Linked DNA regions of Rhinolophus ferrumequinum. The protein of the gene in region 1 interacts with the protein of each later gene in a pairwise test. Links are inferred from orthologs where the notes say so. Each region holds a gene or a part of one and is shown in the gene's direction. Other genes may lie near its edges.

Region 1 (7,391 bases):
CATTTTTCAAAAGATAAGATTTGTTGTGCTATGAATTACTTGCAGACAGAGATGTCTTACTCATGTTTATATTCTCAGGGCCTAGTTATTATAGATGCACAATAAATGTTGGTAAATAATAAATACATAAAATCATAAAGGCTGTTGGTAAGTAAATAACAAATACATTAAATGCAACTTGAGAATGAAGACATAGTCTCTATTCATAAGTCTCTTATTTAAATATCCACTTATTAACACTGTCTAGTAACTTTGAAAAACCTTTTATTAAACTGTAAAGAACATGCTGTTGGATCTCTAACCTCTGATTTCTCTCTTCTCTGAACTTCTCTCTTCTCTCTCTTCAATGGATAATTGTAACAATCAAATGTCCCAGCGCTATGAAAGCACAAGTCAGTTCCACAACTGTTTTGAGGCTTGCCTTTCTTTCCCATGTCTTATCTACCTGGCAGGAGTGTTTAAAGATGGAATACCGAAGGCTATGAAAGGTATAAAATGCTACATAGATATAATTGACACATACGTCCTCACCACAGTAAACATTAAGGACAAACCCTTAAAATTACCGTGAAAGTAAACATGGTGAAAAGTGCATTCTTTCACCAAGACATTTGAGTCCAAATGAAACAAACTTACCTGACATAGTGTTGGGTTAATTGACCTCAACGTTTTAAAGAGATAAACAGGAGTTACTCTTAGAGTTGCATTATTCTATATTGTATCTTTATTTTTTCCCAATTTTACTGAGAAATAATTGATACACACCGCCCTGTAAGTTTAAGGCACACAGCACGATGGTTTGACTTACATATATTGTTAAATGATTATGTTATTTTTATTTTTGACTGGAGAAAAGCTAAGGCATGTTTTCCAAGTATGACTTTTGAAGTCTACTTTCTTTTAGGAATTCAAGCCTAAAACTCTAAATAAGTACATCTCCATTCTATTTAACTGCCAATCTGTTCACTATTTATTTGTTATAACCTGGTAAGCTGTTTGTGTTTGCTTGTTTTTGTTTTGTTTTGAACTATACAAAAGGCTACTTCCAATGAAAACAAATACTACAATTTAAAACCCCTTACGATTGGGCTGCCTGTACACTTGTTTTATTAAGTACTCTTTTGCTCCCTCTGCTGCCATGAAGAAAACCTTCACGTTCAAGACCCCAGCACTTTCCTCACAGTGTTCTCTTGGCAACGATGATGCAGATTTGTGTATACATCAGAGCTCTTCAAAAATGCAGTACTATTTGACCAAAGCATAGAATGTAATAATTACTCATTAAAAAGTGCAAATTAATAAAAGAGGGAGTAAATAAAAAAGGAATAAATAGGAGAATTAAGTTCTGCATCTGTGGCCAAATTCATATAGACAGAGCCCTGTAGTATAGAATAGAATTTTTCACACTTGAATGTGCTTAGGAATCACCCAGGGGCTGGTTACAAGGCAGATTCTGATTCAGTAGGTCTGGGGTGGAGCTCTCATTCTGAATGTCTAGAAAACTCCCAGATGCTGCTGCTGCTATTCTGAAGACTACGTTTTTCGACACAAGACATAATGATATAATATATTCTTGATAGCCCGTTTTAAACCTTCAAAAATAGATACTACCAAAAACAGTGAAATAGATATAAGGGATGAAAATGATTTTCCATCGTGTTTAAGCAATACAGAACACAAATTAGGAGTAAGGCTCAGCAGGCCTTATTTCTCAATTTCCTTTAATTTCAAAGTTTGACTTATGCTGTACAAATATAGTATCAGGTTTATGAATAGGACCACAGTACTACATATTTGCCTACTGGCTCCTTGAAAGCTCTGCTCTCCTTTCATTGAGTTTTTATTTGCATAAAGAGTCATTTTTAAAGAATTAGTACCAGTTATTTGTGATTGTACATTTACTATTTTGTCATCTGAAAATAAGACATTTCAGTGCTAAAGGTAAAGAAAGTATATCATGAGTATTATGTTTATGTTGGTTGGACCTTGCAGGAAGAAATAGTTACAGATTTTAATAGCAGTTTATGGCTTTAATCTTAATGGCTAAGAAAGTAAATGACACATTTGTTATTATTCTTACTTTTTGGGTAATATACATTTTAGCTTCCTTGAGAGAATATTTAAATTAATTGACTAACCTGAATCATGTGTTTTAATTTGATTAAGTTTGTTAAAATAACTTAAATTTAACTGTTTGTGTCAATGTAATATTAAAATATTAGCTCTTTTTTTACTGAAAATTCTCTAAATGTAAGATGTCTAAAAATAGAGTCGAGGTGGATTGGACAGTCTGCAGATTAGGAGCTGGAATAAAAACATCTCAGTTAAGCCAAAAACATGGCAACCAATATTTTCTGTTATAAAAATATTTTAGATGAGTTCAGTTTTTATGAAAGCTGTCTGAAACTGAAATGAATAGCAGAAGCTCTCTGTTTATTCACAGGCCAGTAATAATAATACCTGCAGCACAAAGCATACGTCTTTTCCTGCAGACCCAACAGCTTCTGCTCCTTTTAGAAGCCGGCTCTGCCGGGGGAAGAGATTATTACCCGGTTATGTCTGAGGTATTAACCTTCACCTTGGTAATGCTTGTCAAGGAACACAACACCAGGCAGAGCCTTTTTAGGAAACTGATTTTAACTGTCCACTAGAGGCTGTAATGAGACCAACAATGTCATTTTACACCAACCCAGTGTTTAAACTGTAACAATCACTGATTTTTAAATAAAAAAAAATAAAAAAAGAAGTTGTAGAAATGAGTAAGAGTGAACTGTAGTAGTTCTATTTAAATAACCATGTATATGTACATGGTATTTCAAAATGTGAGAAAGAAGTTATTTCCGGGGCTCTACACCTTCCTAGTTAGTATGCTTATTTTTTATTTCTGTAGCACGTTGACTCTACAATACAGTTGTTCAAAAGCTGACACATTTCTCTTGGTGATTCTGTATCCTGCTTCGGCTGGTGACTAACCGTTAGGTCATAAGTAAACTTAGCCAAAAGGTTTCTCAAATACAGCTTACAGTCAATAGTGGTGGCTTCCAGAGAGAAACTTACGTAGAGGGATCATGTTTCTAGACACTTGGTTCTAAGCACCTGAAGGAGGTCAAACGCTGCCCGGACACCTACTGGTCTTCCAGAATTACCTGCAGCCAGGGGAACGCCGCAGTGAGCTCCCTTTCGCAGGGATGTGCCTTCTCTTCCTCCAGGTGCCACACCTGTTGGCAAGGTGCACCCTTCGAAAGAAGATTCCTTCCCGTCGAGCTAACACCTGGCGGTGATACGTGCGATGTGTGTGGCGCGCGCAGGGGTCCGGGGGCGAGGGGGAGGAGCGGTGTGGTGGGGTAAGAACCGCACTTAAAAATTGAGTCCAGAGTAAATTCTTCAGCCTGGAATCACGAGAACTGCCATTTGATGCTCGGTTTGCTTTCTCTATCTCCTACACTGGTTACCTCATTTCCGATTAAATTAATGATCCCGAATTAGCTGCGAGAGGAGTGCGCAGGTCGTCTACCAAGGCTAGAGCTGGGTAGAGGGCAGGGAGGTCACCGGCTGTCCCAGGCAGTAAAGGTTAGGGGCACGTGCAGTCCGGGGGGGGGGTCCCTTAAAACTTTCCAGAGTTGCACGCAAAGGCACTCCCCGTGCCCCGGTGGTCTGGGTTCCCGAACGCCGAAGCTAAACCGGTTTGAGGATTAACGTGAATGATGATCGCAGTCAGCCCTCTTGGACGCTTTTCGGCGCGCCCGGAACCAAGGGCACGTAGCAATCAGAACTGGTTCGTCTCCCCTCCCCCTGGGGTATTTCATTGGCTCTGAGCCGGAGAATCCTCCAGGGTGCCTGAGTTGCACTCCGTTGTCGTTCTGTCCCCTCCAACTAGGTGCAGGGACCCAGGGAAGGGAGCGAGGACCCACCAGTCACCGCTACAATTACCTCATCGCCTCACTTCCCCGCCCCTTTCCCAAACCTGGAAGAACTGTCCCCTCTGACCCAAGTCTCCCTGCCCCCCTCCCCCCACCACCCACCCCCGATCCCGAGCCAGTCTTGGGGGGAAACGCTCCAGTCTCTCCGAGGGCCGCCGAGCCCGGGCCGCTCGCACCGAAGGATTAAGGGCGCGGGCCAGCCGCCCGCCGTGCGCTCGCCGGGCTCCGAGAGGCTCGCCCCGCCGCCCGCCGGAGGGTGTCCCCCCTCCTATCACCCCCCCCCCGTCGGATCCTTGAGCTGCGGCGGCGGCAGCCAACTGCTCCATATTTGGCTTCTATTACACATTTACATACTGGAGCGAGCGAGCGAGCGAGCGAGCGCGAGAGAGCGCGAGGGAGGGAGGAAGGGCGGAGGGAGGAGGGAGGGAGGGGAGGAGAGCGGGGGGAGGAGGAGGAGGAGAGAGCAGAGTATACCGCAGACATCATTTCTACTACAGTGGCGGAGCCGTACAGGACCTGTTTCACTGCAGGGGGATTCAAAACAAGCCCCGTGGAGCAGCAGCCAGAGCTACAGCAGCCGCAAGACACTGTTTCTCTCCCTCTGCCCCCCCTTCCCCACGCCACCCCAGATCCATTTACACTTTACAGTAAGTGGCGATTTTTTTTCTCCTCTGATTCTGTCTCTCCCCCTCCCCCATCCCCTTCTCCCCTGATTTAGATTAAGATGCCCCCCGTTCTCCTGAGAGGGGCCAAAGCAACAACCAGCAAACAAACCCCAAACCCCAATCGGCGGCACCGAAAACAGCTGGAAGAGGAGCGAAGGAAACCGACGCGGCGTGTTGTGGTGGTGGTGGGGTGTGTGTGTGTGTGTGTGTGTGTGTACACACAACCTTCCTCGGCTCCAGCCTCCCGAAGCGACACCCTGCTCAGGGTGCACGGACCGCCAGCAGGGGGGCTGTTGGGGGCCGGGTGGGCGCCCGCCGGGTGAGGGGGCGCGCCCGGGCTGGGGGCGCGGGCCGGGAGAGTGGCGGTGGCGGCGCCTCGCTCGGGCGGCTGCTAGTCCCGCTCGCGAGTGTGGAGAGCTGTGTCCTTATCCCTGGAGGTGGCATAAGGGAGGCGACAGCGGCCAGGGGTCGCGCTGCCCACTCCTGTCGCCGCCCCCTCTTCACCCTTCTACCCAAAGAGGGCGGCGAGAGCAAGCGGGTCTGGACGAGGCTGGGCTGTCCCGCCGGTGGCCGCCTGGCCTCGGAGTCCCACGGCCGGGGTCTACCCACCGAGGCCGGCCTTTCCCGGCGTGCGGCTGCGGAGCCAGGACTCTGCGCGCGGCCCGGCGCAGGCTGTGGGAGCGCGGGGGGCGCGGAGGGGTGGGCGCTGGGTCGCGGGCGTGCGGGTGCCGGGAGCGCGGCCGGAGTGGTGGCGGCGGCCCTGGCTCCGCTACCACCGCCGCCCTGTTGGTACGGCCGCTTCCTGATCCTGTGGCCGCCGCCGGGAGCCGGGAGCCCGCGAGCGCCCCAGCCCGGTCCGGCACCCCCGCCCGCACCCGCGGCGGGAGGAAAGGAGCGGCAGCAGGCGCTGCCCTGTGGGCGCCAGGAGTGAACCGCCGCGCGACTGCTGGGAGGGTGAATGAAGCCAGGAGCAGGGGAAGGAGGAGGCGCTGCGGCTATTGGGATGCGCCCCGGAGCTCCGCTGCTCGTTCACTCCTGGCCGGGCCGGAGACGCTGCCACTCCCGCGGCCGCCGCCGCCGCCTCCTACGTGGTCCCAGCGCAGCGCGCAGGCCAGCCCCGCAGGGGGCAGGGAAGGGGCCGGACGGGCGGAGCGAGAGGTGAGGCGGTGGCGGAGCGCGGCGGGAGTGTGAGTGAGTGAGCGTGCGTCTGTGTGCGCGCGCGGGGCGGGGGCGGGGGGGTCGTCCACAGGGGCCGTCGCGATGGGGAGAGGGCCCGCTGAGGCCACTTGGCTGACTGCAGCGCCTGACCCCTCCTCAGCCCCCCGCCCGCAGGCCGCCTTCCCAAACTCCATGGCTTGTGCTTTCATTTTATTTCAGACCACGTAGGGGGCTGACTGGAAGCAATGAAACAATCCAGGTTTTCTAGGGAGATTAGCAAGAACCTTGGTGGGGGTGGGGGGGGTGGAAGTAGGGTGGTGGTGGAGCTCCTGCCAGAAAACAAAAAAATCCCTTCCTAAGGACTGTGAGGTTCGGTTTAGTCCCGTGGAGGCTCTGTTTTGTTTTGCTTTCTTAGTATATAATCCTACAGATAAGAGGGTAATATAAATACTTCGGAAGATTGGGAATTGCTGAAGAGTGAGTAGTAAGGGCGGAAAAAAAAAAAGCCAGTCGGAAGCTGGTTATATAATGCGCGATGTGGCTAACGAGAACGGCAAGCTATTTTTATTTTGTTAACCGTATGCTGTGCAGTAGGGACTCCTCCAAACTGGTTCTGTACCCGAAGAGATTCTTAGCTTCCCTGTGAGATCCACAGGATACAATGAGCCAAATTAGAAGACCCCATTTACACCCACAGCCTTGGAGTGGCATACTCCCTGCACATTCTGTCGTGCATGCACGGGAATGCGTGTATGCAAATAAGTTCTCCTTTGGCAATCTAGTAGTCACAGCTCGATGACATTTGTGTTTTATAATGCAGGCTGTTCTTAATATTTAAACATCATCCTTACATATCGCACACAGCAGTTACTTGATGGTTATTTTTAGGCTCAGCTAGTTACTTTTCAACATTATTAGCTAAGCCAGTTCTGTTTGGGTTTCTGAGGAGCCCTGGAGTTCCTAGAAGCCCCTGTTAAGCCCACCTTGTGGTTTATTTGGTGGGTGAAGATTGTTTGATTGTTGAGCTTTTGTTTGAAACGAAGCTTATGCCTAGGGAAACCACCAGAGAGGAGGACAAGAAAATCCTGCATATAAACTCTTGGAGAGGGATTGCACCATAACTGCTAAGGCTGTGGCATTTAATCTCCTCTGGCTGCCCTCTAACTGTACATGCATCAGTCAGTATTTTAGCAGCTCCACAGACAAATGGGCTGCTACTTAAAGCAGAGGTTGAAGTCTCCCCTGAACCTCCTGCCTCCCTGTCTTTCTCCTCTTCTAGGTACGGTCAGTGGTGTAGGTTTTCAGTGCACTTACTCCAGCCCCGATCACTCATGTAATTAGATCAGGCTGCCATGGCAACAGACACTGTTCCTTGTCCATTCAGGTGGGTTTGTTTTGTGCTTGGACTACTCCAAGTGTTTTATGCACAGTATTTGTGCTGCCCAAGCCAGACGAGAGACTTCACTATTTCAATTGCGTCTTCTTTCAGTCATTTGGACGGGAGACACTGAATGAGGCTTCTCGCTACTCTTATAAAGGAGACCAACAAGCTGTTCTTACTGGGTGCAGTATGTAAATGTCTCTCCCCAGACAGTGAAAGGAGCCTGACAATCCTGCTGGTGTTTATTGTGAACAGATCAACAAGTAT
Region 2 (7,817 bases), on another chromosome or scaffold:
GTGGGCCTCTCCGGGTTCTCCATGATTCCCCGGTAGTGCGAGCCCACCAGTACGGAGTAGGGCGTGCGCATGCGTGGAACAGGAGCTTGTCAATCTGGACTAGGGGGTGAGATCCGTCGTTCCGCGGCCCCCCGAATTAAAATTATCCTAGGCTGGTATCTTCTCTTAACCCTTCCTTTAAAACTATAATTAATAAGCACTAGTTGTTAGTGAATAGTTGTTAAATTTTAAAATTTGGGTCCATTCTGATCATTTTAAAAAATGGGGTGGGGGAGGATAGGTGAGGCATTTTTTAATACTTTTCTACTGTGCTTTGTAAAACATCGTTTGAAAGCACGTGAGATGTCTGGTGGAGAGACCAAAGGCTAGCATCATGTATATAAATGCTTGAAAGATTTTACGTTAAAAACATGAGCAAAATAACTTGTTGGTTGTCTCAGGAATGGAATCACAGGTTAATTTGTATTTTCGCTCTATTTTCTACGTATGTTAATTTTTGTAATTTAAAAAAGTGTTTAAAAAAGAGGAGTTCCACTTTAGTGGGACACTGGGGCCAATCTTTTACGAACAACTCTTATCTAAAGATATGCGACCAAGAAGCTTTAAAAAATTTAGTGAGTTTCAAAGTCCTAATTAACACTGTAATATTTATTGTAAAATTAGTCTTTCTTATAAGTATTTTATATAAATCATGACATATCCAAGACAATAAATCAATAAGCATGCTTTCTAGATGATTTGCTGGCGCTTTCTTTGTCACATGCATTTACCATCATAATTTAGGAAGGGATGAAAGCCCTTTCCAATTGAGTTATGAAAAGTCCTGTTGAGAAAGATAGGAACATAATAGTACAGAATAGCTAGGGCAGCAGCACTTACATGGTGTCAGGCTGTTTTAAGTACTTCTCATATATAAAATCAAAGATGTAGAGTGCCAGAAGGGGTCTAGGCTCTGAATATAATTTGCTGTGTGATCTTCCGGAAGTCCATTAGTAATTTTCTGATAGTCCTTAATCTGAGTACAAGATAGCACAACTGTGAAACTGTTCATATCCTATTTTCTTGGAACTAAGAATTACCCTTGGAGCAAAACAAACAAACAAAACTGAGTAGGAAAAAGCCCATTTAGAGAAGTACAGGACAGTTGAGTTGTGATTTCAACTTTCTGAGAAGTGGCTGCTCTCAAATTTTCTAGGTTTTTAATATTTTCATTTGCTTCTTTACTGTTCTTGGACTGCTAATTTCCCAACTGACTGAATATTTGAGTTCCCTTAGGCCAAACTTGGAACCAACAATTTGAACCTAAACCAAGATCTTACAAATATTTAGTAAGCAACTAGAATAAATCATTTCTCTTACTCTCTCAAGGGGTTTCCCATACTGGTATTTGAAAGTTGTTAGTTGCAAAAAGGGGCACTTAGAATTCCAAATTATTCCTGCTAAGGAGAATAACATTCAAAAGCTATAATGAAACAAGTGTTTGCAAGGATCTAGCTTTTGCATGGCCTCTTTTAGTATATTATTACCTTTATTCCTAGGTAATAATTGTCTTCTCCTTTCACAAGGACAAATTGAGACTCTGAAAGGTAAGTTGAGAACAAAGTTCTACAAGACATTAAAAGAGCTGGTGCAAGAATACATCCTAACTTGGATAGACCAGAGGGCCCAGGAAATTAGCTCCAAGCCAGGCCAATATCATGATAGTGAATTGCCTTGAGCAGATTTCACATGTGGCTTGTGGTAATTTTAAAGTATGCTCACAAATTCTTTTAACACTCCTCCCATATAAAGGTGTAGTCTAAGTCCCCTCCTCTTGAATATAGGCCAAACTTAGTGACTCCTATGTAAAGAACAGAATGTGGCATGTGGCAGAACAGAGGGACTTCGAGGCTAGGTTAGAAAGTGCAACAATTGACTGACTCTCTTATTCTCTCTGGACACTTGCCTTCGGAATCCAGCCACTATGTTGTGAGGAAGATCAGGCCATAGAGAGGCCCTGTGTAAGTGTTTCAACAGCTCCAGTGTTCCCAACTGACAGCCACCATCAACCACCAAACATGTAAGTGAGCCATTAGATGATCCTAGCCCTCAGCCTTCCACTGCTCTAGATGATGCTGAATGGAGAAGAGACCAGCTGTCCCAGTTAGAACCAGCCCAATTGCAGATTTGGGTGCAAAATAAATGTTGAGTTAAGCCACTGAGTTTTGGGGTGATTTTATACACAGCAGTAGATAACCAGAACAGTGTTTTTAATATGTTATGTCTAATTCCCACTACAAGCTTAGAAAGTAGATACTGCTATCCATTTTTTGACATGGAGTAAACAGGTCCAGAAAAGTGAAATGACTGGCTCAGGTTTGACACCAAGTGGCAGAGATTAGGATTTAAGAGCTTCAAAGAACAGGCATCTCCATTACTCCATAATGGCAAGGAGATTAGACCATTTCTTCAGCATTAGGAAGAACCTGGATTCCAAAAGCAATTTGGTTTTAATAATAACCACCACCATTGTTTGCTCACCTACAACATGTCTCTGTATAGGCTTAAAAAAAATATCCAGCAGCTTTATGGAGGTTGTATAGGGCTTTTTTTTTTTTAATATACCATTAAGGCTTTGACATTTTTTTTTAGATTTTTTTTTATTATTATTATTGGGGAAGGGGAACAGGACTTTATTGGGGGAACAGTGTGTACTTCCAGGACTTTTTTCCAAGTCAAGTTGTTTGTCCTTTCAATCTTAGTTGTGGAGGGTGCTGTTCAGCTTCAAGTTGTCCTTTCAGTCTTAATTGTGAGGGGCACAGCTCACCTCCAGGTCCAGTTGCCGTTTTCTAGTTGCAGGGGGCACAGCCCACCATCCCTTGCGGGAGTCCAATCAGTAACCTTGTGCTTGAGAGGACGCATTCCAGTCCAACCAACTGAGCCATCATCAGGGAGCTCAGTGGCAGCTCAGCTCAAGATGCCGTGTTCAATTTTAGTTGCAAGGTGCTGCCCACCATCCCTTGCGGGACTCGAGGAATTGAACCGGCAACCTTGTGGTTGAGAGCCTGCGCTCCAACCAACTGAGCCATCCGGGAGGCAGCTCAGCTCAAGGTGCCGTGTTCAATCTTAGTTGCAGGGGGCAGAGCCCACCATCCCTTGCGGGACTCGAGGAATTGAACTGGCAACCTTGTGGTTGAGAGCCCACTGGCCCACGTGGGAATCGAACCGGCAGCCTTTGGAGTTCAGAGCATGGAGCTCCAACTGCCTGAGCCACTGGGCCGACCCTGTGTAAGGCTTTTTACCCACCTTTTCTCATTTAATCTTGACAATAGCCCTCTGAGTGGGTTATCATCTTCCTAATTTTACTGATGAGAAAATCAGGGCTAAAAATAAAGGGCCTAATTCTCCACGGCCTATAGGGTAGAGCTGGGATGCAAACTCCTCCAATTTGCAAATGTTTCCCTCTACCTCTTGCCTGCAGAGAACAGATCATTTGTAAGAAACACTTTTTATTCAGTATTATAGAGGAAAAGAAAAACGTTTTCATAATTCTTTTCTCTGTTGTCAAAACTCCAGGAAGGACTAAGTGATAACTCACTGCCCAATCTGATTTCACAAGAAAGTGAAGCTAAAGAAAGTAGTCTCCTTCAAAGAAATGTAGACTTCGATACCCTTTAGCAAGAAAAGCTATGATTCCTTCCACACCTCTGTATCATTTTACACAAACCCTGGGCGGTCCCACTGGGCAAACGAGCTGGTGATAATCCTGCAGAACAGGCTCACAGGTGATCTCGGTCAAACCTTTCCTGACGGCTCCTCTCCCCCCAGCCCCCCTACGCACAGCAGTTACTCTCATTGCTCACAGAGTAGGGATTTAACATTTGCGTTTCTGTGTCCCTGTCAGCCAGAGTCTCGGCACTGGGTACGAAGTGCTTGACGTTCGTTCGCCATCTCATTTTCACCCACACACTTGCACTTTCCCTTCCCATGCAGACTTCTGGTTATGGGCGGCAGGGAACATTTCAATACATTTGTCGCCCTTAGCTCAATCAAAAGCAATCGTGGCAAGTTTGCCTACTAAGGCATCAACGCGTGATCTCGTTTATTCCTCACAGACTTATACAGAGAGACCATTTTAGAAAGGATAAGAGCTAAACTCAGAGATGTCACCAAAATTATACCACTAGTAAAAGAGCTGAGGTTCGAGCCCACACCCGGAAGGCTCAAAAGCCCCCAGGTTCGCCTAACTCATTCGCACTGGTTAGCCCCTGGGTTCGCCGCCAGCTCGAACTGTGCAAACGCAGCCGTCGACACGCTCCCAAGTCGGGCCAAGCCGCGGACCCCGACCCACTTCCCTGCTGCCACCTCCTTCCCAAAAGGAAAGCCTGGCGCGGGCCCCAAGCACAGCCCATCCCGTTCCGCCCCGCCCCGAAGCGCGCGTGGGAACGCGGCATCCTCCCCGGGGCTGCCCACGACGACCGCCTGCGCGCACCAGGGAGGGCTTCCGCCGCCCTCGACCCGGGCTCCTCGCCTCCGCCGCCACCGCCTCCCAGCCACCGCCTTCCCGCTACCGAGCGCACACAGGGGCCAGCGCCCGGGAAGCGCGTCGCGATGTTTCTCTTTTCCGTCCGGCATTGCCGCGGCCACCTCACATCCGGGCGAAGGCGGTGCTGGGGCCCGGGTGCGTGGAGGGAGTTATTAAGGAGGAGGGGGCCAGGGAGGAGGGGCGGAGGGCTGGGCCGCGGTTACGGCGGCTGAAGAGAGACAGCCGGAGCGGTTAGGGGGGCGAGCGTGAAGGCCTCGCGGAGTAGCCCTCGGACCGGCGCGGACGGTGGGGAGGGGAGCGACGGCCGTGGCGAAAGACCGCCAAGCGGCGGAGGCACCGAGTAAGGGGCTGGCTGCGGCGGCGGGGTCTGGGACGCCGCGCGCCAGGGCCCGCAGGGAGAGAAGGGGCGCGGGCGCGCTGCTCCCGGGGTCGCGTGCCTGAGCGCGAGCGCCGGGGCGCGCGCGGGGGGCGGGCAGGGACGCCAGGCCAGCGGGGTGGCGGGCGGGCAGCGGGCTGGCGGGGCCCGAGCCGCCGGAGCGGACGGCGGCGGGCCTGCGCCGGCTCCTGCGCTTAGCGCCCGGGCCGGGGGATTCGGCCTCCCGCTCCCTCCGGCCCGCCTCCCCTCGTGAGTAGCATCCCCGCCCTTCCTCGGAAGGAAGGCGCTGGGTAGGGGCCTGCGCGAGAGGCCGGGGGTTGGGGTCGCGGCCCGGGAAAGCTGAGTTTCGGCGTTCGCTCCTTCCTTGCCACGGGCGCCCCTGACATGGCCACAGGTGCGGCCGGCTGGGCGAGGGGCGCTCGGGCTCCGTCCCCAGACCCTGGCCCCTGGATAACAAGGGGCAGCTGGCGCCGTCCATTGGCAAGTGACAGGCACTGTATTACAGCCCGACTTACCGGATCCCCAGCCCCAACGAGTTTCCCATCTGCCCCCACTCCGGGAAACTTCCCCTCTACTCCCTGAACGGTCCCTATGGGTGGCAACGACTAATCTTGATATCCTTTTGTAGTAAAGCTGCTTAAAGGCTCTCTACCCTAATTTGGGCACCTTCCACTTCTTTCCTTACGTTTTTGATGCTTAGAGCACTTTATTTACTAGAAGAGATAACTACCAGTGGTTTTATTTCCAATTGGGTTCTGGTTTATAGCGTAATTGTAAGGGTTTTTTTTTTTTTTTTAAAGGTAGTCATTTTAAGAGAGAGTTTCAGTTTCTTAAACAGTTAAGACTTCTGAAAAATTATTGTTCTCCGTGACAGTTTTGTGCTGATTTATCTTCCAGGTGCAAAGAATTGTAGACCAAGGAGCCATGGATAGGAGAAGTGTGGGCGAAACAGAAAATGGAGATGCTTTCCTTGACTTGAAGAAGCAGCCGGCCTCGAAATCCCCCCATCGCTATACAAAAGTAGGCTTTGTTACTACTGAAATAGTGTTTCTTTATAAAGGTGGGGAGGTTAGTAACATTGTGTAGGTATTTCATTAGTATTATCTAAAGTGTAGTCTCATTCTGACTTACTAAATGGACTAAATATTAACTAGATTTAGTAAAGCATGGCTTTGAACTTTTTCTTCTAAGTCTGAATACCGAGTTTAAACTAGAATTTGCTTCTAAGTAGTTTTCAGGTGAAGGGAATATCTGCTCAGCTCCCATATGAATTTGTGGACCAGTGTATGTTGGCACACAAATTCTGTAATAGCTGTGTGTGTCTGGTATGTTGTTGACTTACATGCTATAGAGTAAGGATTCCAGCTCTGAGATGGCTCACAAAACCAGTGTCCTCTGTATTGATGTTTCTTTAAGAGGTGAACACCCCAAAGGAATACTCTTTGGTGCATTCTAGGTGCTTGACTGGAGTAACCAGATTTTTTAATTCTGTTTTTTACTTCCAGTTATAAATTAGATGTGGATTCACAAAAGTAAGACTTCAATTATATTTCCCCTAGCTAAAAACCTGTGATTTAGAACTGCTCGGTCTAGATACTTGCTTTTTCCAGGGAGTTGCAAATCACCTCAAGGTCGTATATTTATTGAAGCTATTGTTCCAGTATCTTGTTGACTGTTGAATGTTTCTGAAGAGGTTTGCAGGACTCAGCTGTGAATTCATTCTGGTTCCCTGAAATGTATTGGGCTGGAATACATAAAATGTGCTTGGGACAGTTGACAGGAAGGGTTATGTCCTAGGTGGGCCCATATCTGTCTTTTTTTTAGTATGGAACCAATCAAGGACTCTGGTGTAGTTATTGTCCCTAGTTTCCCAGCATACTGATGGGTTAATATTTTAAAGTCAGGCTTTGTCTGAGTACTGGTACCACTACTCTCACCTACTTGATAAAGTTACTCTTACCTACTTGATAAAGTATCAAATGATGTCAGTAATACTCATTTTCAGCATTAAAAAAAAACTCTCTAGAAGAAAAAGTGTTTTCAGGTGTAAAAGAGTTCTTGGTTAATTGCTGTCTTAACACAATCTGTTTTGGCATCACAGTGAGTTGATAGAAAGCACTTTAGTACTTCATTCATATTTGGTCTTCCCAAATGTAGTTCCCCTCAAACCTGAGAGTGCTTGAGTATTTCACAACTTAAATTCATCACCTGAAATGTTGACAGGTGAATTCTGAATGGAGAAATGCTTATTAAATGAAGGAAAACTGATTTGAACTGCTTTTGTGATTTCAACTCAGCCGGCACCTTTTGAATAAAAGTTCTAACTGGTATTCTCTTTGTAGAGTCCTGGCAGAGAGGCTTTTGAATCACTTTCACACACTGATCTGAAGGTGGCATGTATATATCATACTTAATGTATATCCATCTTTATGCTTAAGTAATTTTTAGAAAGATATTATTGGTCTCTGTTAGGGTAGAACTTATGTATGTCTACAATAAAGATGAAGAATCTCAGTATTGCCCATTTTTGACAGTCCAGCCTCAGAATTCTGCCGTATTTAGATAAATGTGCTTAAAATGGTTAAGAAAGGCGTTTTTTAAGTTAATGACAGCAGACCTTAGATTTAATGGTCTTCACTAACAAATTTAGTTGGAAATAGGTTTACTTTCCGCCCCATTCAACAGAATTTAGTTAATGGCTGGTTTAAGATTGTGTTCAAACAATGTTAGGGTAGTGCTTTCGTATGTATGTTTCTCTACTTTAGTAATTTTATGTGAGACCCTTTCAACTTTTTCTTATCTTCATCAGGGATCTTTGTTCACCAGTTCTCGAGGTGTAATACCTGCTTTTCTATTAGTGATACTATCTTCTGTTTGAACTACACAATAGAAATGCTTTGGATCATCCCATTCAGA
Region 3 (7,691 bases), on another chromosome or scaffold:
GTAGTCTCCCCTTATCCACGGGGGATATGTTCCAAGACTCCTAGCAGATATCTAAAACCACAGATAGTAATGAACCCTATATACTGTTTTTTCCTGTACATACGTCTTCTCTTTGGCATATTTGAATTGCCAGTATCAGTACTCTTGCGTTTAGGGGCCACTATTAAGTAAAATAAGGGTTACTAACAGCAGTTTTCTATGCACTTCTCTTTTTCTCTCCTTCTGGGTATGAGCTTGGGGGAATCATTTCATATTTGCTTCCTTATCTTCTAAAACCATTTTTGAGAAGATAGGAAGCAGACAAAGCAAAATGGGAAAGGTAGTGCCACCGTTAAATGCACTTGGGGCAGTCTCCAAGCCTCACACTCCTTCAGCGTCAGTGGGGTTTCTTGGAAGCTCTCTGTAAGGCTGGTAGCTTCCTAGCTCTCTACTATTTTAGAGACAGATCGTTCATGGCTAGGGAAGAAACTCCCATAAACCCAGTTAGCTTACTGTGCATTCTGGCCCTCAATGGTTGTTTCAGGATAAAACACCTTGGTCTTCAATGTTGTGTCCGATCTGAACATTCAGAACCTGGAAAAAAAAGGAGCAGGGTGCAGTTCCAGTTCAGTTTTAAGTGTAAAAGGAAAGTGAGAAGACAGACTCAAGAATGAAAAAGGGACTAGGAGGGCAGCCACGTGCTCTAAATCAAGGCTCTTTTCCTTCTGTAGGTTACTTAACCTTTCTCTGCCTTATTTTCCTTATCTGGACAATGGGAATGTAACATGTAAAGCTCTGATATTTGAAGAAAGTTGAAAAGAAATAATGTATATAAAATACTGAGCCTGGCACATCATAACAAACTAAATAATGGTAACCAATTTAAAGGCTAAAATTGAATTTCTTATTGTGCTAAGTCTGGACTGATTGGATTGTTACTATACGTTTTAAATCAAAATCAAGTAATTATAAGTGTTTTTTTAAATTCTCAAAAATGTATGTAAAGTTTCCTTTTAAGAATTTCAGGTAGAGACTCATAGCATCATACTGCCATAGATTTTTTTTCCCCTTTTAAATAGGGAAAAGTAAATTATTTACCAAATAGGTTCAGAAGCTAAAGCCGGGGGGAAAAAATGCAAGTCTGCACCTAAATTTAATCTGTGCTGAGCAATTTCTTGGCTGTGAATGTGTTTGGAAAGTATAAGCTTTCTCATGTGATAATTATTTTGGTTAGCTAGAAGAAAACTAAATGCTTAAAATTGCAAAATTTGCAATTTCATGTAAGGATGAACATTTTTTTCCTCCAGAATGTAAATATGTCAGTTTGAAGACAGGGAGAAGAAGGACAAAGAATAACAGATGCTTTCATTCAACAATTTTATTGAGTGGCCACTATGAATCGTGCACACATGAATCCAGTCAAAGCATCAAGGCACTGCCAAGAGTAAGATAACCCAGATGTCCTAGTGCAAGAGTTGGTAGGTTCTGGATTATGGAGATTTTGAAGGATGCTGTGAGGGGAGATCCTGGTTGGGGAGTAGGGAATGCTTTGCTAAAGGGTTAAGGAAGTGTCAGTCACAAGCTCTGGTAGCTTGGGAGGAGGGTCTTGCCCCACTGCTGCTAGAACTTATCTTTTCCCCACAACAGGGTCTGACGAATAGCAGGCCCTCCATGTGTGCCTCATGTGCTACTTCAGCCTCTCAGCTATGTGCTCCATTCCTGGGAGGGTCCCTAAGAGCAGCCCGGCAGAGAAGAGCAGCCTCTCTTTGAGAGAGGGTCCCAACCTAGAGAACTGCAGTGGCTCTCATCAGTATAGTGCAAAATATGGTTGAGCCCTTGTGTCAGGATCACATGCGCAACTTGCTAAAATGATTTCTTTAGCCCCACAGAACAAAATCCTGAGCGTACATGAAGCATCGGTGCTCACTAGCTGACTCTTCTGTTTTTTTTTGTTTTGTTTTTTTTTGACGAAGAGTTAAAATCAAGTACAAAATAGTGGTAGTGGGGTTAAACTTTATTTTTTCAGCTCAGTGTACCTAATATATGATCTACCTCTTTGGCCTTGTTTTAAGGGGCAGAATTTATATTGGCCTTTGAAAGAAACATTTTTAACAGGCCTCCTCTTTTTCTTTCAAATCTGTTTGCTATTTGTACTTGTCTTGCCTTCCAGTGAGAAGGTACTGGTAACAGACATCCCATTCCTGAAAATGATGGCTACACAGCACTCACAGCCAAACGAGTTGGGTTTAAGGCCTGACTCCAGCACTTATTAGCCATGAAACTTGGGCGAATCGCTTCACGTCTAGGTTCTTCTATTTTCAAATCCCTATGCCATAGATTACCTTCTCCTTGAAGAGTAAATACGGTTTTATGTCTAAAGAGCTAAGCAGAGTATGGCCTAGAAGTGCTCAATAAATTCCTCGAACTCCCACAAACCTTATCCAAATGCACTACTGATCTCATTTTTTACCGTGGTGGTTTATACATCTTCAAACATTCTCGAATTCTCTTATACTCTTCCCTTGGTTGATAATGCCTTTCTCCTTCCTCAGCTATCCAAGGAAAGTTCACTTTTCAAGATTCTACCCAAATAACCTCTCTCTCTCTTCTGGTCTTCTCTCCCAGTTCCCCCAATCCTAGTTAGCCCACCACTCCTTCTCTCATGACACATATACAGTTGAACCATAATTATGGACTTGCCTGTCATGCCCACGAGATTCTGTGAAACATAGTCATTCTTAAATCCTCAGCACTCAGCCTGGTGCCTGGCAGGTCATAGGTGGTCAAACCATAGATACACATATATGTAATTTTGCTGAATGCCTGGATAGAATGAATGGATTTAAGCGTAGATGGTTGGACGGGAATACGTGTGTGCTTTTGGAGAGGCGATGGCCTATGAGAACTGTGTGGTTTCTCTTGGCTTCCGCCGTTTCCAGATCGCCCACATTGCTGAAGGGTAATGGCTACCTTCTAAGGTCCCGCCGGTTTCTCTGCTTTGGGACACAGCTCTGCAGGGCACCGGCAGGGGGCGGCGTTGTCACACTGCTGGATGTTCCGCGGGTGACCGTCCCCTCCCCGGACCCCACCAGGCGCGCAGCTTTGGTGACCAGGCCCGGGCTCCCCCAGTTTAGAGGGGGCGGTCTGTTCTCCCTTCCAGGCTGGGCGGCTGGGGTGGCGCAGGGCCACGCGAGGAAGTTTCCAGCTTCCCGGCGCTCTCCCCTTCCACCCCACCTTAGCCTCACGGACCCTCTACGTAGAAGAAAGTTCCTCCTAGTTCGGGAAAGGCAGCGAGCGGCCAGAAGAAAGGGTGGGCAGAGGGCGAGCTTTCTAGCAAAGATGGTGGTGCGAGTACGGGTGGGGATAATCTTTACACTCCTTTCGCACCGCCGAAGCTCGGGGAGAAACTCTTTTATCCTGTAAACACGCACCGTGACTAGCAAACTAGCTCATTCCCACTGACATTTGTTTTCACTTGAAAAAGGCAAACCTCAGCGCGGTATTCCTACCGCGCTTTGCCTCCTGCGGTTCTCAGTAACAGTCGCGCTGCGAAGTGTCGGGCTCCGCGCAGGAGCCCTTTGCGCGCCCCAAAGGCCGCGCGCTACCCGCGCCGGGCGCTCTGGGCCCGCCCCCGGCCTCGGCCTTTGGCCGGTGGCCACCCGGCCGCCACAGCCGCCCGGGAGTCCGCTCAGTGACGCGCGCCGGCCAGGGCTCTGTTCCGGCCTCCCGGAGCCGCTCGTGCGCAGAAGTCGGACCCACGCTCGCGGCCCCGCCCTCGCGTCTCCTCAAGCTCGCCCTGAGCTTCCAGGCGCTTCCCGACGTTTCCAGAATCGAAACCCAAGGCGCGAGCCCCTCCTCTCAGGCGCAGCGACCGCTTTGAATGGACAAGTGGACTCATGAATTCACCCAGAGACCGGGTTTATTAATGAAGTAAACCGTCTAGCTATACAGTACATGGTGTTTAACAGGGAAGTCGTGAAGAACCTCTGGAGCCCCATCATCTGTAAGAACCCACCACATCTGGCGAGAATTTTATGTTTGGGAAGTTTCTGTAGTTGCGAGGTTTTAGTTATGTTCCAGTTTTGAGGACCACTTAGGACCCGTGAGACATTTTTGTCTCCTCCGTTGGGGAAAAAAAAACACGCATGGGCGAGGGGGCTGTATGTAAGAGAGATATATGTATAAATACACGCACGTAATATACGCGCACAAGTACTGCCACTGGCCTGGGGCTCTGAAAACCGCTTGGCTGGGCCCCGGGGGCTCAGCGCGCGGGCAGCTCCGCGCTCCGTCCGCCGGCGGGCAGGGGCGGCGCCCTATGCAGATGAGGAGGGTGTGGCGAACGCGCTGCGCCAGGGCCCCGGAAGCGCGGAGAGGCCCGGTATAAAAAAAGTACTGAAGACGTTTCCCTCGCATAAGTGCTAAAGCTCCAGAGACCGGAGCGTGTGCGGCGGCGGCAACAGTAGTAGGAGCCGCCACCTCTAGGACCACCGCAGCTGAGACGGCAGCAGCGCGGGCGGGGGCGAGAGGCGGGAGTGGCCAGCTCAGGCGGCTGGGGTCTGGGAAGGACTAAGTCGCTCGCCGCTGCCTGGAGCGCAGTCGCAGCTCCTGGAAGTGTTGCCCCTTCGCGGTTCCTCGCTCGCTGCGCTCCTAGAAGGGGCGGCCGTCTCCAGGTGACACAGACGGGACTCCCGCTTGCGCTTTCCAGATGCATCAGAGATACTTTTGGTGCGGGGCTGCTCTGCGGGGCGCGGTGCGCGCGGCTGGGGACAGGAGGGGCTGGGGAGGAAGAGTCTCAGAGGAGTCAGTCCCCAAGTCGGTCAGGGAGCGAACCGGGGAGGGGGCGCGCTCTTTCCTCTACGGGCTCCTGTTCGCAGCCAGGCGTCCTCACCTAGCTTCTTCTCCCCTCTTTTTTTTTTTTCCTTTCTTCTTTTAGGACCGACCAGGGCCAAGTGGCATTCGGCGGGCACTTCATGGCGGAAGGCGAGGGGTACTTTGCCATGGTCGAGGACGAGCTGGCCGGCGGCCCCTACATCCCCCTGGGCGGCGACTTTAGCGGCGGCGAAGTCGTCGTCAGCGGCGGTTTCGGCGGGCATTGCTTGGACTATTGCGAAAGCTCCACGGCGCACTGCAACGTGCTGAACTGGGAGCAAGTGCAGCGGCTGGACGGCATCCTGAGCGAGATCATCCCGATCCACGGGCGCGGCAACTTCCCCACGCTCGAGCTGCAGCCGAGCCTGATCGTGAAGGTGGTGCGGCGACGGCTGGCGGAGAAGTGCATCGGCGTCCGCGACGTGCGCCTCAACGGCTCGGCCGCCAGCCATGTCCTGCACCAGGACAGCGGCCTGGGCTACAAGGACCTGGACCTCATCTTCTGCGCCGACCTGCGCGGGGAAGAGGAGTTTCAGACTGTGAAGGACGTCGTGCTGGACTGCCTGTTGGACTTCTTACCCGAAGGGGTGAACAAAGAGAAGATCACACCACTCACGCTCAAGGTAAAGCCCCCCGACTTGGGCTGGGGTCCGCACCCGGGCTGGGCTGGGGTGCGGCGGGCCGAGGGAAAGGGGTTTTCAGAGGGACTTGTGTTTGATGCCACAGATCTGCGGCCGTGACAGCTTTGGGCGCGCTTATTTACTTTGCTTTTGATTTAAAAAAGAAAAATGAGTCAAGTAAGGTGCGTGGAACAGTGTTGAGCGTTGTACTTGACTTGGTGCTTCAGCGCCACAATTCTTCTGCTTCCTCCTCTGCCCTCCCTCCTCTTCCTTCTCCTTATTTTTTAACTCTTGGCTTTCCTTGCTTGAGCCTTGTTCAGAGTAGATTCTAAGTGGAAGAATGAAATGATGTAAATCATTTTTTGAGTCATTTTATGATGTAGCCTTTGAGAAAATAGCAGCCTGAAGCAGAACCAAGTCAGTGAGCTTATTGTATTGGAAAATGTGAATAGGTTTCCTAGCTGCATTTAGCTGACTCTGTGTGTTTAGGATAAATGTGGTGCTTCTCCGGGTTGGTTCATTTGTTAAGGTATAGTGGGTCCCCCCTCCCTACTTTGGTTCAAAGCGCGTTTTATATGTTTAGTTAAAATTGTCTGAGGAATCAGCCTCCCAGAATGTCCTAATATAGTTCATTTTGATTGTAACTGCTGAGTACCCCTAGAAGGACAGACAAGATACTGATCACATCTGTTGCCTCAGGGGGAGAAGAACTGGGTGACTAGAGACAAGGATGAGAGGCAGACTAACTTTTCACTGTATCCTCTTCTGTCTTTTGATTATTGTGTGGATATTGTGTGAATGTTGTACCTGTAAGACCATTTTCAAAAAATAACACTTCAAAAGTCAGACAAGACAACAGAACCTCTCAGTCCTGTGCTACATCTGCCAAAAGCCTCAAATTATTACTTCTAGTCTCCTTCCCAGACTGTAAAACCACTCGTTAAATGTATTTTTTTTTCTGTTTTCGGAAGACTATTTAAGCCTGTAGGTAGTGTTTTGCTGAAACTTGACAAAACAAAAGGGAAGGAGCAAAATGAATCTCATCTGTGAAGACGTATTTATTTATGATCTTTTCTAGGTATGCTTATCTTCTTGTTTTATCTTTTGAATTGTAGGAAGCTTATGTGCAGAAAATGGTTAAAGTGTGCAATGACTCTGACCGCTGGAGTCTTATATCCCTGTCAAACAACAGTGGCAAAAATGTGGAACTGAAATTTGTGGATTCCCTCCGGAGGCAGTTTGAATTTAGTGTAGATTCTTTTCAAATCAAATTAGACTCTCTTCTCCTCTTTTACGAATGTTCAGAGAACCCAATGACTGAAACATTTCACCCCACGATAATCGGTGAGAGCGTCTATGGTGATTTCCACGAAGCCTTTGATCACCTTTGTAACAAGATCATTGCCACCAGGAACCCAGAGGAAATCAGAGGGGGAGGCTTGCTTAAGTACTGCAACCTCTTAGTGAGGGGCTTTAGGCCTGCCTCTGATGAGATCAAGACCCTTCAGAGGTATATGTGTTCCAGGTTTTTCATCGACTTCTCAGACATTGGAGAACAGCAGAGAAAACTGGAGTCCTATTTACAGAACCACTTCGTGGGGTTGGAAGACCGCAAGTATGACTATCTCATGACCCTTCATGGAGTGGTAAATGAGAGTACAGTGTGCCTGATGGGACATGAAAGAAGACAGACTTTAAACCTTATCACAATGCTGGCTATCCGGGTGCTAGCTGACCAAAATGTCATCCCTAATGTGGCCAATGTCACTTGCTATTACCAACCGGCCCCCTATGTAGCAGATGCCAACTTTAGCAATTACTACATTGCACAAGTCCAGCCAGTATTCACATGCCAGCAACAGACATACTCCACTTGGCTACCCTGCAATTAAGAATTATTTTAAAATGTCCTGTGGGGAAGCCATTTCAGACAAGAAAGGGGGGGAGGGAAGGCTGAATGACCCAGCCCTGATTAGGGACGTGTTTTGTGCAATGATGATCTGCTCCTGGTTTTAAGCTTGGCAAAGCTTGTGGATCCTTTCATAGGTATGGGAGCGTGATCTCCAAATGATCCCCACCCACCAGCAACCTACCCACCCGGTCCTCCTATCCAATTGGATTCTATCCTGAAACAAAAGAGACCTGTCATTCAAAGCAAACAGGTTCTCCTAAAATAACATGGGAAAAAAATGCTTGATGACAATATGGGTTTGCAGTACC
Region 4 (7,485 bases), on another chromosome or scaffold:
TCGTTTACAACTGCATCTAATACAAATAAGAAATATCAATAGCTTGTAGTAGCCTCACAACACAGGCTTTTACTGTGATTTGCTTTTTAAAAAACTGATATAGGGCCGGCCCTGTGGTCAGGTGGTTGGAGCGCAGTGCTGCTAACACCGAAGTCGCCTATTCAATTCCCACAAGGGCCAGTGAGTGTGAACAGCCGGAGCTCGGCGAGCTGCTGTGAGCCGACAGACCACTGGCGACAGACTGCCTCAGCCAGGGTGGGGAGCGCAAGGCTCACAGTACCAGCATGGGCCAGGGAGCTGTGTCTTACACTAGACTGAGAAACAATGGCTTGAACCGGAGTGAGGGGTGAGGCAGAAGAAGGGGTGGAGGAACTGAGATATAATTTACATACTGTAATCTCTACACTTTTAAAGTGTGCAATTCAGTGGTTTTTAATATTTCACATTTGTGCAACCATCACCACTATCTAATTTGAGAATATTTTCATACTTTGATTCACTTTTGAAGGCTCGTTTCTTACAGGTACAAGAGAACAATGAGGTATGTGCAATTGAAAACTCCAATAAAGATCCAGAGATCTCAAACAAAACTGGAGTCAGCAAGTTGTAGTGCTGCTACCATAGTTATAAAAAGGGAACTGCACTGAAAGTAGTAAACATGACATATAGTTATCACTGTGTCAATGGTCAGGTCACAGCAGTTGAATTCCATCCATTTTAAGAGCTACTCTCTAAAACAGATAAGAGGAAAAGGGTGCAAGGAGAGTAATGAAGACAAAGAGTAGGAAAGTAAGTTTAAGGATGAAAGTTTTAAAGAGTTTGCAGTAATTTAGTCTAGGAAAGTTATTTAAGGACAACCTTAAAGTATCTGAAAGGATTGTTATACAGAAAATGGTGACCTTTTCTTTCTCCTCCTTTCACTAAGGAAAAGACAAAGAAAATGGATTCATTCTGCAGTATGAAGGATTAGGTTAGCATTAACAAGTCATGAGACAGAGCCTTGTTAAACAACAGAATGGTGGTGACAGCAAAAAGTTATCTGATACTTTTCCAAAACTTTTAAAAGTTGCAACGAATAATATAAAGAATTCCTTTACTCAGATTCCTCAATATTAACATTTTACCACATTTGCTTTATCTTGTATGTATGTATGTATGTATATTTTGTCAGAATCATTTGAGTGCTATACACATGATTCCCCTTATCCCTAAATACTGGTACTTCCTAAAACAAAGGACATTCTCCTGCTGAAACACAGGCATATTACAAAAATCAGGAAATTAACACTGATACAATACTATTATTTAATCTACAGACCTTCAGACCTTATGCAATGTTTTCCTATTGTCCCAATGTCCTTAAAAAAAAAAGCAAAGTTTTTCTGATCCAGGATCCATGTTGCCATGTGTAGTTGTCATGTCTCATAAATTCCTTTAATCTGGAATGGTTCTTCAGTTTTTGTTTTTCATGACCTTCATGGTTTTAAGAATACAGGCCACTTATTTTGCAGCCTATCCCTCAATTTGGGTCTCTGTTGCTTTGAAAAAAAAAAAAAGATTTCATTTGTTTTTGGGAGTTTTAAGGATCGTCTCCATTAAAGACAACGGGTAGAATGAGCCTCTCTTTTCAAGATTCCTCACACCCACCTCATACTGATTATTCTTACTATATTAGAATTACTTATAGATGATGGGATGGACATAAAACATTTTTGTATTCAGAACTAAGCTGCTTGTACCGCATAGTTTTTCTTGGCACCTCTGCATTTTACAAGAGTTGAATTTCTTTAACAAAAGTAGGTTTGTCTGTCAAAGAATTAGCACCTACTCTTTTTAAACATTTGAGACTTAAATTACCTGTAGACTCCCATTTTCAGAATCTCACGTTCGAGGTAATAAGCTATGCCCTAGCTCAGGAGACAAACAGCTGCAACAATGGGTGGGTGTTACTCATTATAATCACTCAACAAATATTTGTTGAGTATGTAGTATATGTCAAGCTTTATTCCAAGCCCTGGGAATACCTTCGAGAAAGGAACAAAATTCTTGTCCTTGTAACCTAGTTGGGCAAATTAAAATTTAAGTGAAAAACAATCAGAAACCAAAGATCTGACTTCCTTAAACAGGAAGGAAAGTCTGTGAAAAGGGGCAGCCCTGAGATTCGATTCTAATATGAATAACTCTGCGGAATCCCTGGCAAACGCGTTGAAAATCATGTTCTCAGTTTCTCTAAACGCGCTATACAAATGACTAATCCGAACACCAAAGGCCTGAAAGGATGGGCGCAGCAGGACTTCCTAAGCTTTCTAACCACTTTCTCAGACACAGTGGTTGTCCGGCGTTGGACCTCCGGACCGCGCCGCACGCGTTCGGGTGCACCCCAACAGCGCCCTGCACCGGGACCTGCACCTTCCGGCCCTGGCTGGGCAGAGCACCTGGGAACCGCGCACCGAGAAAGCCCCGAGCGAAGGTGGCTCAGGGAAACCGGCTCCTCCAGGAGGCCTCTCCCACTGCAATGCAATCTGGGTGGTTTTTCCAGGTCCCTCCCTGCCTCTCTCGGAGCCTAGTCCCTGCCCCCGTGACGCCTGCGGGCCCCGGAGGGTGGCTTGGAGATACCGGGACAAGGCGGGGCGAAGCCGCCGCTGCGAACCAGCTGTGGATTGCGGGGGCTCTTTCCTACCCCGCATCCTGCAGTCCAGGAGGGAGAAGCACGCGCCGCTGGAAACCTAACTGCAAACGAGGGTGGTACAGATCACCCTCGCTGGCCCTTACAGGGCTGCCTGCCCCGGGCATAGCCCGGCCTCCGTCCGCACCCCCAGGACGCTAGCTGCTACCTGCGCAGCGGGAGGCAGCTTCGCCGCGCGCAATCCCAGCAGCCAGGAAACGCGGCGGCGCGGGCCTCATGCTCCCCAAACACTGCCCCCCACCCAGAGCCTCAGCCCCTTCCCCACTCCGGCCGGGCTTCCTCCCCGTCGGGAAAGCTCAATCGCCAGCTTCCCCTTACATGCGTCCTGAAAGGTTCTCGGGTTTATACCCAGAGTAGGTTACTGTAGCGATAGGGGTACGGTTGCGTGATATCTCATGAATATAAAGGGCTGGACACCTGGAGCCGAATTAATAATACTTCAGACGAAATTGTGTTCCCAAGACTAGATCAGTTTGAAATATGAAACTCGAGGAAACCACTGCTACCGCTTTGCTCTCTAAAATGTCAACAGGACTCACTACAGAGCCGTCCAACTTGGCTAAGGGGAAGTGGTGGACTGCATAGCCTCTGGGCAGACCTAACCCGAGCTAGAGTAGGGAGACTGCTTCGGAACATTGGCCAAATCGACACAATTACAGAGGCAAATGTAGGAGTAGAGAGTGTGGGGTCAGTGGCAACTGAGGAAAAGCTGGCTCTGGCCTGATTTACAAAAACTTTCGGTACGCCGGGTAGCTGTCTTATTTTGGGTCCAGGGCAAATCAAAGGAAGTGGGCCCCTGCCCTGGAGGAGATTCCAGTCTCGAACAGGCAGCCAGGACCAAATAAGACGTAGCATTTAAGGGAGTCATTGAGAGAAAAGGGAGAGGGCTCCAAGCACCTGAATTTCCTCCCGGGGTACCTCCTCCTGCTTTGCGCCAACCAACTGCTTTGAGCGTGACTTATGACTGAACGTCCAGCCCCGGGAGCCTGGCTCTGCCGCGCGCGAGGGTTTCACTCCCGAAGGTGGGCAGTGCCTCGGGGTTGGAGCGTGCGCCCGGGCTCCGGGCCGAAGGGAACAGCCCGCAGGGCCTGCTGTTTGCACTTACAGGTGTGTTGGGCTCGGGAGCGGCTTTCCGGTGCTTGGCAATTGCCCCTGCCACCTCCCGGCTGCCGTTGGCGGTCCCTCCCGCCGCGATATGCCTCTCCCGGCGCGGCGCTCTGGGCAGTTCCGCACTTCGGGCCTCCCCTCTGGTCTCCTTTCACCTCCCCACGCCAGGCCTTTTCGCTTGTCACTTTAGAACCTCCGCATTCGTTCCCCACAGCCGGCATTTCTCCAAGCCCCCACACCTCTCGAATACCTCCCAAAAGGTGTGACCCCGACTCCTCCCCTTCCCCCGCGCCTTTCACCCTTCACCCTTTTCCCTTCTGGCCTCGTCTACCCTCAGGGTGGAAACCGTCTGCGCGTCTCCCCCTCCTCCCTCTCGCCCTCCCCTCTCCATTCATCCAGCCATTGTCTCCCGCCCCCTCCTCCCGTTTCCCTAGGCTGCCTCCTCCTCCACCGCTGCCACGTAGTGGTTTGAAGGAGCCAATGGGCCGGCGCCGCCAGGTGTCTCTTACCTGCACCACGTGGGGGAGGGGTAGAAGGGGCGGGCAGGTAGAGCCACAGCCCCAAACAGAAAAGCTTTCAGCCATTGCGCGCGCCTCCCGGGGGTGCAGCCCTGCTCCAGGCTTTTTTCATAGACGCACCGGCAATTGGATACAAAAAGGGCAGGTCTCCTGCGCCCTCCTTCCCACCCCTATCCTGCCCTGGGTGTGGAGTACCGGCCAGGTGTGGGCTTGGGTGGCTGGTTACCGCCTTTTGCACAGGCGGCGGCGAGGAGGTGGAGGAGGAGGGGGGGTGGGCGCTCTTTCTTTTTCTCTTAGGAGAGGTTTTAGGACAGGTTTTCTTGTTCTCATTTACACCCTCCCTCACCGCCTCCCGAACCCCTATTTCCCCCTCCCCACCCATCACCATGACGGCGTCTCCGGATTACTTGGTGGTGCTTTTTGGAATCACTGCTGGGGCCACTGGGGCCAAGCTGGGCTCGGATGAGAAGGAGCTTATCCTGCTGTTATGGAAAGTCGTGGATCTGGCCAACAAGAAGGTATTTCTCCACGTTTCTGTCCAAATGATAGGGGTGGGGCAAGAAGTTTGTTGTATAGAAATTTGCGGGGGGAGGTCAATCAACAAGTGCTCTTGTTTTCCCACTTGTGAGGCGGGACCTGGGGCCTAGAGAATCCAGAGTAAAACCAAACTTGCTGGCCCTCCGCCTTGGAGCCATTTCAGCCCTCCAAAATCTGGCTCAGGTGGAGAGGCCTGTCGCCGCCAAGTCAGGTTCTCTGCCCGTCGGGGACGCCCTGCGGAACCCGGGTGGAATCCCCCGGGCCCCCTGTGCCGGCTTCCTGAGCCTTTCCGACCCGATCCTGGTGGGGGTGGGGTCGGGGGCTGGGCCGCACCGACCTTTCGGCTTCCGGAGCCTCTGGCGACCAGTGAGCTTTGATTCTGCGGCCAGACCCCTCCCGAGGCGCGGACCGCCCCAGCAAGGGAGCAAAGGAGTAGGGTTGGGGTGGGGAGGCTCTTAAATTGAGGAAGGGGGAAACTGACTCCTGCTTCTTTCCCCCGGAGGTGGGACAGTTGCACGAAGTACTAGTTAGACCGGATCAGCTGGAGCTGACGGAGGAGTGTAAAGAAGAAACTAAGATCGACACCGAAAGCCTGTCCTCCGCGCCGCAGCTGGACCAAGCTCTCCGACAGGTGACGGCCCTGGGCCGTGCCGCCCACCCCCAGCCTAGCGGCCCAGGCGTCACCCCCGAACCCACCCCCACACCCGCCAGCGGACCCAGGCCTACCAGGCCCCACGCCCTCGGCTGGTGGTCCATGCGCGTCCCCGGTGCTTGGTGGCGAGTCGCCGGGCGGCTTGGGTGGAAACCCCGCCTGCAGGTCGGGGTCGGATCTTTGGGAGGAGGTCGCTGTTTCTCTCTGTTCTCAAACCCCAAGACCTTGGGCCAAAATTCGCTAGTTTTCTAGTTGTTTCCTGAGTCATTCCCTGGGTCAGAGAATCAGCTGGGTTTTACCAATCGCCTGATGAGCGGAGTTTGAATACTACCTCGCTCATCCACCGGCCCAGATGCCAGGCGCGCCTGTTCTCTTCGGGGGTTTCGGTCTGCGGCTCAGCCCTGGGGCAGGAGGCGCTGTGGTGTAGAGCGGCCGGCCTCGCGCCAAGTTCTAGAGGCAGCCTCTGTTTGGTTTCAGGATTCTGAACTCCCAAATGCTGGGTTCCGGTTCCATTATTTTTAGTGGCCTTGGTCCTAACGCGGGGGAAGGTTTGCAGGCCGCGTGACATGCAGGGCTGCTTGTTGGGTCACCGTGAAAGTGGTGGAATCCACTTGTGGAAACGAGTGACCTAAAAACTGGCTGCTTTGAGGTGCTGACGGGTACTGGATCGAGTTAGGGCAGGGCGCTAAACACCTGTGCACCAGAGAGTGTCCGGCGCCCTCCTGGCCCCTGCCTGCCCTAGCATATGTGTTGCGAATTATAGTGGAAAGTGATCATTTCTGAGGTGTGTTTCAAGGAAACGTGTTACCAGACTTTCCATAACCATTACCCACATTGCCCAACTGGCATTTTAAGCCTAGAACATTCAACCATAAAAAAAAAGTAACAGCAGGGAATGATGTAATCCGAAGGCAATCTGCTGATGAAACAAGATCTCTGATTTTAAAGTCTTGGATTTTTCGCAAAAAAAAAAAATAGAAAGGGGTGCGGACGGAAGGAAAAAAGAATACATTTACTGAATTCTGTGCAAAACTGCTGGTTGATTGGAAAGCTCTGTCTAAAGGAAGCTAGACAGTTTGTGGGAACCAAATTTTTCTAATGTCCCCAATGCCAGTGTCCCTCTTCACTGTAGTTAGTGCATTTTTTTTCTCTGATTGTCACGACCAACTGGGGCCACTTTGCAAATTGTAAATCCTGCATCAATTACATTCTTGTGTCTTTTTCTTTTCAGTTTAACCAGTCAGTGAGCAATGAACTAAATATTGGGGTAGGAACCTCTTTCTGTCTCTGTACTGATGGGCAGCTTCATGTCAGGCAAATCCTGCATCCTGAGGCTTCCAAGAAGGTAAGAGGGCTCAGTTCTCGAAAGGCAATTGGACCTTTGGGGTAACTGGAGGCTTTAAAAAAAAAAAAAAAAAAGATTTTTTCCAAGTTTTTCGATTTTAAATAAATGCATATGGGGAGTTATTGTTTCATGGGTACAGAATTTCGGTTTGAGAAGATCACGAAGGGATGGTGATGATCCTTGTACAAGAAAGTGAATGTACTTAATGCCACTGAACTGTGCACTTAAATTGTTAAAATGTTAAATATTGTGTTATGTATATTTTACCACAATACAAAATTCATGATACTTTCATAGAGATGTTTGAGACTGCAGTAATTTTATAGGTACCCTTGGGTGACTTAAAAGCTTTGTATATGTCAAGTTTTTTAAATGCTTGACATTCTCCTTTTTCCATACTTAAAATAACTACAAGTAATAGGAGAGAACTGTATTTTAATACACCATAACATTCCCATCTGTGTGGAAAATGCTTTATCCAAGAAAGGAAGACGCAAAGAAAAAGAAGTTCAGAGAAATCTTTTTAATTCTAATTCTAATTTTATTTAAAAGCTTTGTACTGCCAAGGTAAGACTTAATCATATAACTACTGAAATGTTGATTATAGTATATTGCACTTTGTCCAAAACTGATTGAATCT

Evidence for each region.
Region 2: the proteins of ATXN1 (region 1) and EIF4ENIF1 interact in binary tests that used the Homo sapiens proteins (3 or more experiments, as listed by UniProt). The link is inferred for Rhinolophus ferrumequinum from reciprocal best matches to the Homo sapiens genes ATXN1 and EIF4ENIF1.
Region 3: the proteins of ATXN1 (region 1) and TENT5A interact in binary tests that used the Homo sapiens proteins (3 or more experiments, as listed by UniProt). The link is inferred for Rhinolophus ferrumequinum from reciprocal best matches to the Homo sapiens genes ATXN1 and TENT5A.
Region 4: the proteins of ATXN1 (region 1) and ESRP1 interact in binary tests that used the Homo sapiens proteins (3 or more experiments, as listed by UniProt). The link is inferred for Rhinolophus ferrumequinum from reciprocal best matches to the Homo sapiens genes ATXN1 and ESRP1.

The regions. Positions count from the first base shown.
Region 1 is NC_046292.1:78,029,060-78,036,450, forward strand, and holds the start of ATXN1 (ataxin-1), read left to right. Parts: upstream 1-4,369; 5' UTR 4,370-4,567; intron 4,568-5,533; exon of another isoform or gene 5,534-5,743; intron 5,744-5,763; exon of another isoform or gene 5,764-5,776; intron 5,777-7,391. UniProt on the Homo sapiens protein: Chromatin-binding factor that repress Notch signaling in the absence of Notch intracellular domain by acting as a CBF1 corepressor. Binds to the HEY promoter and might assist, along with NCOR2, RBPJ-mediated repression. Binds RNA in vitro.
Region 2 is NC_046308.1:20,406,916-20,414,732, reverse strand, and holds the start of EIF4ENIF1 (eukaryotic translation initiation factor 4E transporter), read left to right. Parts: upstream 1-4,717; 5' UTR 4,718-4,865; intron 4,866-5,024; exon of another isoform or gene 5,025-5,150; intron 5,151-5,174; exon of another isoform or gene 5,175-5,295; intron 5,296-5,798; 5' UTR 5,799-5,825; coding exon 5,826-5,921; intron 5,922-7,817. UniProt on the Homo sapiens protein: EIF4E-binding protein that regulates translation and stability of mRNAs in processing bodies (P-bodies). Plays a key role in P-bodies to coordinate the storage of translationally inactive mRNAs in the cytoplasm and prevent their degradation.
Region 3 is NC_046286.1:40,706,134-40,713,824, reverse strand, and holds the start of TENT5A (terminal nucleotidyltransferase 5A), read left to right. Parts: upstream 1-4,414; 5' UTR 4,415-4,687; coding exon 4,688-4,707; intron 4,708-4,915; coding exon 4,916-5,474; intron 5,475-6,586; coding exon 6,587-7,363; 3' UTR 7,364-7,691.
Region 4 is NC_046297.1:35,970,685-35,978,169, forward strand, and holds the start of ESRP1 (epithelial splicing regulatory protein 1), read left to right. Parts: upstream 1-4,379; 5' UTR 4,380-4,697; coding exon 4,698-4,829; intron 4,830-5,350; coding exon 5,351-5,479; intron 5,480-6,731; coding exon 6,732-6,845; intron 6,846-7,485. UniProt on the Homo sapiens protein: mRNA splicing factor that regulates the formation of epithelial cell-specific isoforms. Specifically regulates the expression of FGFR2-IIIb, an epithelial cell-specific isoform of FGFR2.